Linked DNA regions of Canis lupus familiaris. The protein of the gene in region 1 interacts with the protein of each later gene in a pairwise test. Links are inferred from orthologs where the notes say so. Each region holds a gene or a part of one and is shown in the gene's direction. Other genes may lie near its edges. The genes, in order: DCP1A and RITA1.

Region 1 (4,442 bases):
GTAAACCTATGTAAGAAAAAAACTAAAGAATAAGTCCTGGGGGGCAGCCCGGGTGGCTCAGCGGTTTAGCGCCGGCTTTAGCCCAAGGCCTGATCCTGGAGTCCCAGGATCAAGTCCCACATCGGGCTCCCTGCACGGAGCCTGCTTCTCCCTCTGCCTGTGCCTCTGCCCCTCTCTGTGTCTCTCATGAATAAATAAAAATCTTAAAAAAAAAAAAAAAAAAAGAATAAGTCCTGGGGATGTAACATACAGCCTGATGACTACAGCTAATAATAGTAATTCATATTTGAAAGCAGCTAGGAGACCCAGATCTTGAAGATTCTTACCACGAAAAAAAATTCTTGTAACCATGCATGGTGATAGATGTTCGCTGGGCTGTGGCTGTCATCATTTGCAATGTATGCAAATATCAAGTCACTATACTGTCCACCTGAAACTAATAGTGTTATATGACAACTACACCTTAATAAAATCATTATTTTTAAAAGAAGAAAAGTAAAAAAATAAATAAATAAAAGAAGAAAAGTCTACTTTAAAAAAAAATTTTTTTAGTTTCAGGTGTGTCTGAATTTTGTATTACCTATGCAAAAAATGCATAATCTTTTTAAACTAGGGTACAGATTTTTAAATATTGGATTGAAAGTAGCTGGAGGGGAGTTGAGACTCATTCTCAAGGATGAAGGAAGGTAGCCATGGTACAGAGGAAAGGACTCTGGGGGGAAGGAAGGAGTCTCTGGATTCCCCTACCAGATTACCCTGGCTAGTGTGCAACTCTGAGCTAGGGATGTCTCCACCCAGCACTTGCTTTAGAGAGGAAGACAAACCATGAAAGATGCCTGGCTCTGGGAAACAAACCAAGGGTTGTAGAAAGGGAAGGGGGAGGGGATTGGGGTGACTGGGTGACAGGCACTAAGGAGGGCACTTGATGGGGTGAGCACTGGGTGTTATATGTTGGCAAACTGAATTTAAATAAAATATTAAAAGAAAAAAAACCCCACCAAATTGTTGACGGCTGTGATGTAGTGAGATGGACGATCTGGGGTGACTTTTGGGGTCCTGCCTCTCCCCCTCCCTCCCTTCTCCATGCTGTCCCCACGATGGTGGAGCCCACACACAGCCAGAGCTGGAGAAAGCTCCCGGACAGCCTCCGATCCCGCTGTCAGGACATTTTACCCCAAAGGCAGGGAGAACCTGCGCCCCCTCCCCCTCGCCTGCCCTCGCCTGCCCCCAACGCCACCCCAAGAGCCTCGGGCGTCAGGAACCCCGGAACCCGGCATCCGGGGGTTGTGGACGTAGCGGAGCACAATAGCCGTCGTACCTACCGCCCCTCCGCGAGGCCCTGCGAAGAAGCGGAAGTGGAAGGTGCTGACGCAGCCGGGGGAACTTTGCTTCGATGGCACCTTCCTGTCCGCGACTCCGCCCCCCGCCGGAGGGGCTCGGCTCCGGAATTCAAGATGGAGTCGCTGAGTAGAGCTGGGCAGGAGATGAGCTTGGCGGCCCTGAAGCAGCACGACCCCTACATCACCAGCATCGCAGACCTCACGGGCCAGGTCGCTCTGTACACCTTCTGCCCCAAGGCCAACCAGTGGGTGAGTGCGGCGCGGCCTCCGAGGTCGTCCGCCCGGCCGCCGCCTCTTAAAGGGGCCGCGCGGACTCTCCGGAGTTGGGGGCGATTCGGGGAGGCGGGGGTTGGGGGGGCGGGGGACGGACCGACCGGCCGCTGGAGGGTGTCAGGGCCGCCAGGGCCTCCAGGGGCTGTGCGGAGAGGGGCGAGGGAGGCAGGCCCAGGACGTCTGGGAGGAAGAGCCGAGAGGAGGGAGGGAGGGCTGGGGTCCGGTCCGGTCCGGTCCGACCTGGGCGGGCTGCCTCCCTTGCAGACGTGCTGGAGGATGGGAACCGGGGGGTCGGAGACACACCTGAAAGGCGCTGCCTGAGGCCGTGCGGGCTCCGGGGTAAACTACCTGTGCGTGATCCGTAAAGTAAACACGCGTCCTCCCCCCCCCCCCCGCCCCCCGACGGGCACGTAAATAAGAGCCCCCTTCGCCCAGGTCATCTGGGTTTATAAAGCTTCGAATCCAATTAGTTTCCATTCTTGGAAGAGAGGTGGTGAGGGTAAGTCCGGCTTTTATCCAACTGTACTATTTACAGAGGTTTTTTTTTTTTTTTTTTTTTGGGTGGGGGGGATTTCAAGGCACTTAAGGAAAAGGGCTTCCGTGTTAATTGCATTTCTTTGAAGCCGTTGGAAAAGAGACCCTGTAAATGCGTTTTAGTTCCAGCTGTGCTGCTGGTGAGGTCGCCTCGGAATGCTCCCTTCCTACTAAGTAATTGTTGGCTTTGCTTGCCTTTTTTTTTTTTTTTTTTTTTTTGCACGGGAGGGGGTCCGAAAAGTTACATTGGGTCTGTTGTCTGACTTGTTGGGCCCCGTTTAAAAGTAACGTGATTTCCAGTTTTCGGGACGCCCGGGTGGCTCAGCGGTTGAGCATCTGCCTGCAGCCCAGGGCATGACCCTGGTGACCCAGGATCGAGTCCCCTGTCGGGCTCCCTGCATGGAGCCTGCTTCTCCCTCTGCCTCTGTCTCTCATGAATAAATAAATAAAATATTTAAAAATAATAATAATAGGGGCAGCCCGGGTGGCTCAGCGGTTTAGCGCCGCCTTCAGGTCAGGGCGTGACCCTGGTGACCCGGGATCGAGTCCCGCGTCGAGCTCCCTGCATGGAGCCTGCTTCTCCCTCTGCCTGTGTCTCTGCCTCTCTCTCTCTATGTCTCTCATGAATAAATGAACAAAATCTTTAAAAAAAAAAAAAACTATTTTAAAAAATAATAATAATAAAAATAAAAGTAACATAATTTCCAGTTTTCTAGCAATTGACCCTCCATGCTTTACTCCTTTAGGCTTTACTTTTGGCAGATGATCTGTCAACGTCTGTTGGATTGATTTCATAAACAAGTCACATTCACATTTCAGTGAAAAATGAAATACTACTAACAAAACCCTGAAAGATTATCGTAATGTGCCCTTTACGGTATAAAACAGACTCATAGGCTATATTTAAACAGTAATTGTATGAAAATCATTTGACGTTTATAAACACTTAACTCAGATGAAGAGAGCTTTCAGGATCCTCTTGCTTTTTTACCTTATCTTCTTTCTTTCCCCTCCTGGAAGAAGAGGTATGGAAAACCACAAAGAGCAAACTTACAGATTTTTATTCTTATTTTTAAGTTTTTTTGCTTTTTTTTTTTTTTTTTTTTTTTTAGTGTAGCTGTTTTAGACATTGCCTTAGTTTGAATTGTTCTGAATCATTTTTCTTTATTTGGTCTGCATATAAATTTGTGAGATGTGAATTGCAGACAAATGATGAAGACTTGGGGGCAGGAACTTATGACTAACACTCATATTTCTAGTTTTTCACAGACTTTCAGAATTGTAGAATTCTGATTGTAGAGTCCTGCTTTAAATATGAAATACAAATTATATCTATCTGGATTGAAAAAGAAGCTGTTCGTTTGGTTAATGGCCCATAGAGCATAACCAAAATCTTTTGTATTTTTATTTTACAGTGAGTTGTAACTTTGCACAGTGTTGTTTGAGCAAGTTTTCTTTCACTGTGAGACCGTAGATTGCCAATTTCTTTTTTAATAATTTAACATTTGAAAGGCAAGAAAAAGCCTGTGAATCCTTAGGAAGGAAAAGTTTTTATGATGATGTTTATGATAGGGCAATACTCTCAGCATGTTAAATATTTTTTAAATGTTTTTATCCCAACAAACCCAATTTGATATGACTAGCATTTAAAGTTTTCTAACAGTTTGTGGATTGCATTAAAATACATCACTTCTACCTAAGCTGTGAACTGCCACTAATATAGTTATTTGGGTTTTTTTAAAAACATTGTGTCTAACACCTAAATACACTTGTCACAGCGAATGAAAGATAATGAGTTGTACTTTTAATCAAGATGTTTCTTATTCTTAAAATGTTTTAGTTATACATTTTATAATAATTACCTTAAGGCAGAGTATAGCTTCAGGTTTCATGATTCTTCAACAAAGGTTTAAGAATAAAAAATTGTGTTCGACAGTATTTCTTAACAAACCACAAAATTTGCTATTCATCAAAATATACCCAAATCGTCCAATGATGAAGCAAAGTATCCTAGGATATAATGTTTTCTTTTTTTTCCTTCCCTAATAACTTTGATAAACTTTAAAAGTGAAGGAATTGCAGTATACAGAAGCTTGGCTTTAAAATTTAAAAATCGGAGGAAGACATTTTAGCTTCAGAAAGGGAAAGTGGGGTGCCTGGGTGTCTCGCTTAAGCATCCAACTCTTAGTTTAGGCTCTGGTCATGACCTCAGGATTGTGAGAGTCTGCTTGAGATTTTCTCCCTCTGCCCCTCCCCCATGTGCACATGCACACTTGCACTCTCTCAAATAATATT
Region 2 (4,307 bases), on another chromosome or scaffold:
GGAACCCACTGGCGCCTCAGCAACATTTACTGAACGAGTAGAATGCACAAACACTGTAATTTAATCCTTTCGTGAGTCTCTGAGGCACTTAAAATCATGTGTCTTGTACACATGTGTAAATTCTGCCTTCTACAGGTGTGGCCCAGAGAGGTTAAGCAACTTCTCCAAAGTCCCACAGCCAGTAGATTTGGGCCACATTTGAATGCACAACTGCACCAGGGCAAAGGTCTCCGTCTGAACCATATCTGTGGGCTCTTCTTTGGCACCTACTACCTCTGCCCTCCTGTGCTGTGGCGATTTCTCCACTTTTATGGAGCACCTACTATGTGCCAAGCACTGGCTCCACTGGGTGGGTAAACATGGTACGATTCCATCTGGTCCTTGACCAGGAGGAATGTGGTTCCCTCTTTTCATCTAAACACCTACCCTTAAGACAAAGTGGGGGGGAGACACCTGGGTGGCTCAGTGATTGAGCATCTGCCTTCGGCTCAGGGCGGGGTCCTGGGATCGAGTCCCACATCGGGCTCCCCGCAGGGAGCCTGCTTCTCCCTCTGCCTGCGTCTCTGCCTCTCTGTGTCTCTCTGAATAAATAAAATCTTAAAAAAATAATAATAAACACCACTCTTTCATCCACATACCCAAACCCCACTCTGTGCCAGGCACTGCTGGGCACAGGGCTGCGGGAAATAATGGGCTTTAGCTATTTGCCCGTTGGTGCTCACGCCCCCCACCCCCACCCCGTGTGGAAGTAGCACAGGCCCTGGAACCAGAGGTCGGCATCCTGGCTCTCTCGCTCACAAGCTGCGAAGTCCTGGTCTAGGTGCTAACCCTAGGGTCCTCCTCTGGGACACAGGGATGGTGGCACTTAGCTCCCAGGACTTAGGGTCCTCCTCTGGGACACAGGGATGGTGGCACTTAGCTCCCAGGACTTAGGGTCCTCCTCTGGGACACAGGGATGGTGGCACTTAGCTCCCAGGACTTAGGGTCCTCCTCTGGGACACAGGGATGGTGGCACTTAGCTCCCAGAGCGGTATGAGGATTAAAACGAGGCTAGTTCTCAGCATGAAGCCCGGCACATGGTTAAGCGGTCAGCAAACGCGAGCTTAGTTCGCCACCAGGGACCCAGGGGATTCGAGGCGTGGCCGTCTCGAGCCGCTGCGCCCGGCCTCCGCTTAGTTGCACCCGGCAAGAATCCCCCAAACTCCTGAAGTCAGGGCTTCGGCACCCGCACTTTTCATTGGACCAAAGGGCGCTGGGCCCGCCCCCTCGGCAAGAGCCAGCCAATGAGGGGCCGCGACCCAGGGCCGGCCCGGAAGGCCCGCAGGCCCGGCGGCTGGAACGCAGGGGCTCCAGGATCGGAGCCGGGCGGGGCGGGGCGGGCGCGGAGACACGTGCTGGGGCTGGCGGCCCTGCCGGGGCCCTGCCGGGGTCCTGCCGGGGTCCTGCCGGGGCCCTGCCGCGGCCCTGCCGGGGTCCCCACCCTCAGCCCCTGGGCGATGCGCGGGGCCGGGCGCCCGCTCCCACCTTCTGGGCCCGGGTGTCATCGTCCGCTTGGATCTCAAACTCGCCGTCCTCCGAGTCGCTGCTGCGGGGCTGGGAGGCCGCGCCTCGGCGCCTCCGCAGCCCCTTCTTCTTCCTCCACTGGGCCATGGGAGCGCGGGACCGAGGTCCGGCCGCCACGCGCCCGCCGGCCGCCATGCGGGCCCCGGGGCGGGGAGCGGGGAGCGGCGAGCGCGAGCTGGGAGCTGCGAGGGGGAGGGGGGCGGGGCGAGGGGCGGGGGCGGGGCCTGCGGGACGAACCAACGGCGCGGCCGGGCGGGGGGGCGCCGCGTCTCTGCGGCCCGCCTGCGCCGCCTCGAGGCTTCCGGGAGCTCCAGGGGCGCCCCCCCCCGGTGCTCATGGTTCCGGCCGCCCCGCCCCTCGCTGGTTGTCGCTGGGGCCTGGCTGCCGCCGCGGGTCGGTCCGTGCGGCTCCCCGGGGCTGGGGCTGCGGGGCCCGGGCTGCAGATCCTCTGGGACCTTGGAGGCCCCTGCAGAGGAGGGGGCGCTGGGACTGCAGCCCACATCCTGGAGCCGAGATTCTCAGGTAAGGGAAAGAACTCACGATGCAGGGGCCTCGGACCTCAACCGGGGTCTTGACTTGGGGAGCAGGGAACATGGGGTAGTTGGAGGGGTGTCTGTGATCCACCAGGAGCGGAATGGTTACGTGCATAAGCTCTGCACCCCTCTGTCAGGTTCACATTTCTCTTCTACTGTTTTAGCCTTATTTAGGTGCGACTTACAGGTGTGACTTCAGCGTCTGAAGCCTCAGTCTGGTCATCTGTAGATTAGACATAACCGAAGCTACTTCGCAGAGCTGTTAAGAGGATTAAATGAAATAATGCTTGTAAAGCTTTTTGCGCAAGGTAGGCACGAGATAATGCTGGTTATTGTATTAACTCCATAAATGTATATACGGGATAGAAGGACCTGCCCTGTCTCCCCCATCCCACCAGGCTAAGTTTTTTCCTTGGTGCCAAAATAGACACAGGCCTCATCTCTTCTTCTCCCCCTAGCGTTCTGCATGGAGCACTGTATACTAGGAATGCACATTTATTCATTAAATATTTGCTGGTAGCACCCCTCTCCTTATCGTTGTGACAGCTGAGAGACAGATGAACCCATTTCTGCAATGTCCCCTGGGGTTGGCAGCTCCCCTTTTGTCCTTGGGTTGGGAACTTAAGAGATGGGCCACCTTCCTCTGCTGGCACTGCCAGTGACGGTGGTGTCACCCTGTCCCCCTTTCACAGGGAGCCCTGGAGGCAAGACCCCGCAGGCAAAACATGCCTGCTCTTACCCAGAACCATGTGCAGCATGAAGACCCCCGTGGAGCTGGCAGTCAGTGGGATGCAGACCCTCCGCCTTCAGCACCATTGCCAGGGCAGCTACCGGGTCAAGGCCAGGCCGTCATATGTGGATGAGACATTGTTTGGCAGCCCTGCGGGTACCCGGCCCACACCACCAGACTTCGACCCACCCTGGGTGGAGAAGGCCAACAGAACCAGTGGAGTGGGCACAGGGGCATCACAGGCCTCAGGGGCCAATGGCAGCTGTGAGACCACCTCCTCCAGGGGCAACACCCCGACCCTCACACTAAGGAAGAAGAACAAATACAGGTAACAGGATGGGAAGATACACCCCTGTACTCCTGAGGCCACCTGGGTTCCTATTAGAGCCCTGCTGTTTACATGCTGTGTGACCTTGGACTCTCAGCACCTTGACTTCTCTGCAGTTTCCTTATGTGGAAAATGGGACCTAGTGGGACTACTGAGCGTAAATGAAGTGAGTGTGTACAGGGCTTGGCACAGTAATCTGACACCTAGGAAGTTCTCAGTAAGTGATAGTGAGGATGATTGAATACCCATTTCCCAAATGCCACAAGACCAGACAAGTGAGGTCCAGAGGGGTCTAGTGATTTGTCCAAGATCACAGAGAAATTTGCATAAGAATATTAAGGTGCTTGATCCACGAAATGACATAGATGCAGTGGGTGGGTCGCAGTTTCAGTAAGTCATTTCAAAAATGGTTTTTGTGGCCTTTTCATGAACAAGCTAGGCTAATAGTTATGATTGTAAATTAATCAGATTATTTGGATAATTTCAGGTTGATACCAGCCTGGAGGGAGGTGTGTAGTGGGGGGCCACGGGGCTCTATCTTGTTTATTGTTATCAGTGATTTGAACAAAAACACAAAAGACTGGAATATTCATTTACAGCTATCATAACAAAATACAGTAGCTGGGGAGCTTAAATGACAGAAATCCATTATCTCATAGTTCTGGAGCCTAAAAGTCCAAGTTTAAGGTCCTGGCAGGCTGAAGCCTCTCTTTGGCTTACAGACAGCCACCTTCTTGCCTGTTCTCACATGGCCTTTTCTCTGTGAGCATGTATATTCCTGGTGTCTCCCCTCTTCTTATAAGGACTCGATTCTTCTTGGTATAGAGCCTACCTTTATGACCTCCTTTAAGCCTAATTATCTCTCTAAAATTCAGGGTGAATTTTGGGAGGACATAGTTCAATCCATAACAACTAGCCAATCATATTTAGGGTCCATTCTGAGCCAGGAGGAACATAGGTTGGTGGAGAGAAGTGAAAATGGGAATGCTGCCTATCTTAGGAGATAAAATTCAATGAGGTAAAAGCAAGACTCCAGTATTAGGTCAGGTTGAGCACCATGCATCTGACATAGAGCCAGGTTAACATTAGCACCGCTGACAACTATAGTGTAGCTGAAAAGGCTGATGTAAGTGTGGGGTGTACTAACAGAGGT

What was found.
Region 2: the proteins of DCP1A (region 1) and RITA1 interact in binary tests that used the Homo sapiens proteins (3 or more experiments, as listed by UniProt). The two-hybrid records come from large-scale screens. The link is inferred for Canis lupus familiaris from reciprocal best matches to the Homo sapiens genes DCP1A and RITA1.

What each region holds. Positions count from the first base shown.
Region 1 is NC_049241.1:36,887,192-36,891,633, forward strand, and holds the start of DCP1A (mRNA-decapping enzyme 1A), read left to right. Parts: upstream 1-1,367; 5' UTR 1,368-1,454; coding exon 1,455-1,589; intron 1,590-4,442. UniProt on the Homo sapiens protein: Necessary for the degradation of mRNAs, both in normal mRNA turnover and in nonsense-mediated mRNA decay. Removes the 7-methyl guanine cap structure from mRNA molecules, yielding a 5'-phosphorylated mRNA fragment and 7m-GDP.
Region 2 is NC_049247.1:10,896,612-10,900,918, forward strand, and holds the start of RITA1 (RBPJ-interacting and tubulin-associated protein 1), read left to right. Parts: upstream 1-1,448; 5' UTR 1,449-1,524; coding exon of another isoform or gene 1,525-1,698; exon of another isoform or gene 1,699-1,733; intron 1,734-1,907; exon of another isoform or gene 1,908-2,085; intron 2,086-2,260; exon of another isoform or gene 2,261-2,283; 5' UTR 2,284-2,404; intron 2,405-2,788; 5' UTR 2,789-2,843; coding exon 2,844-3,154; intron 3,155-4,307. Other genes in the region: ATP-dependent RNA helicase DDX54, read right to left, coding at 1,525-1,698. UniProt on the Homo sapiens protein: Tubulin-binding protein that acts as a negative regulator of Notch signaling pathway.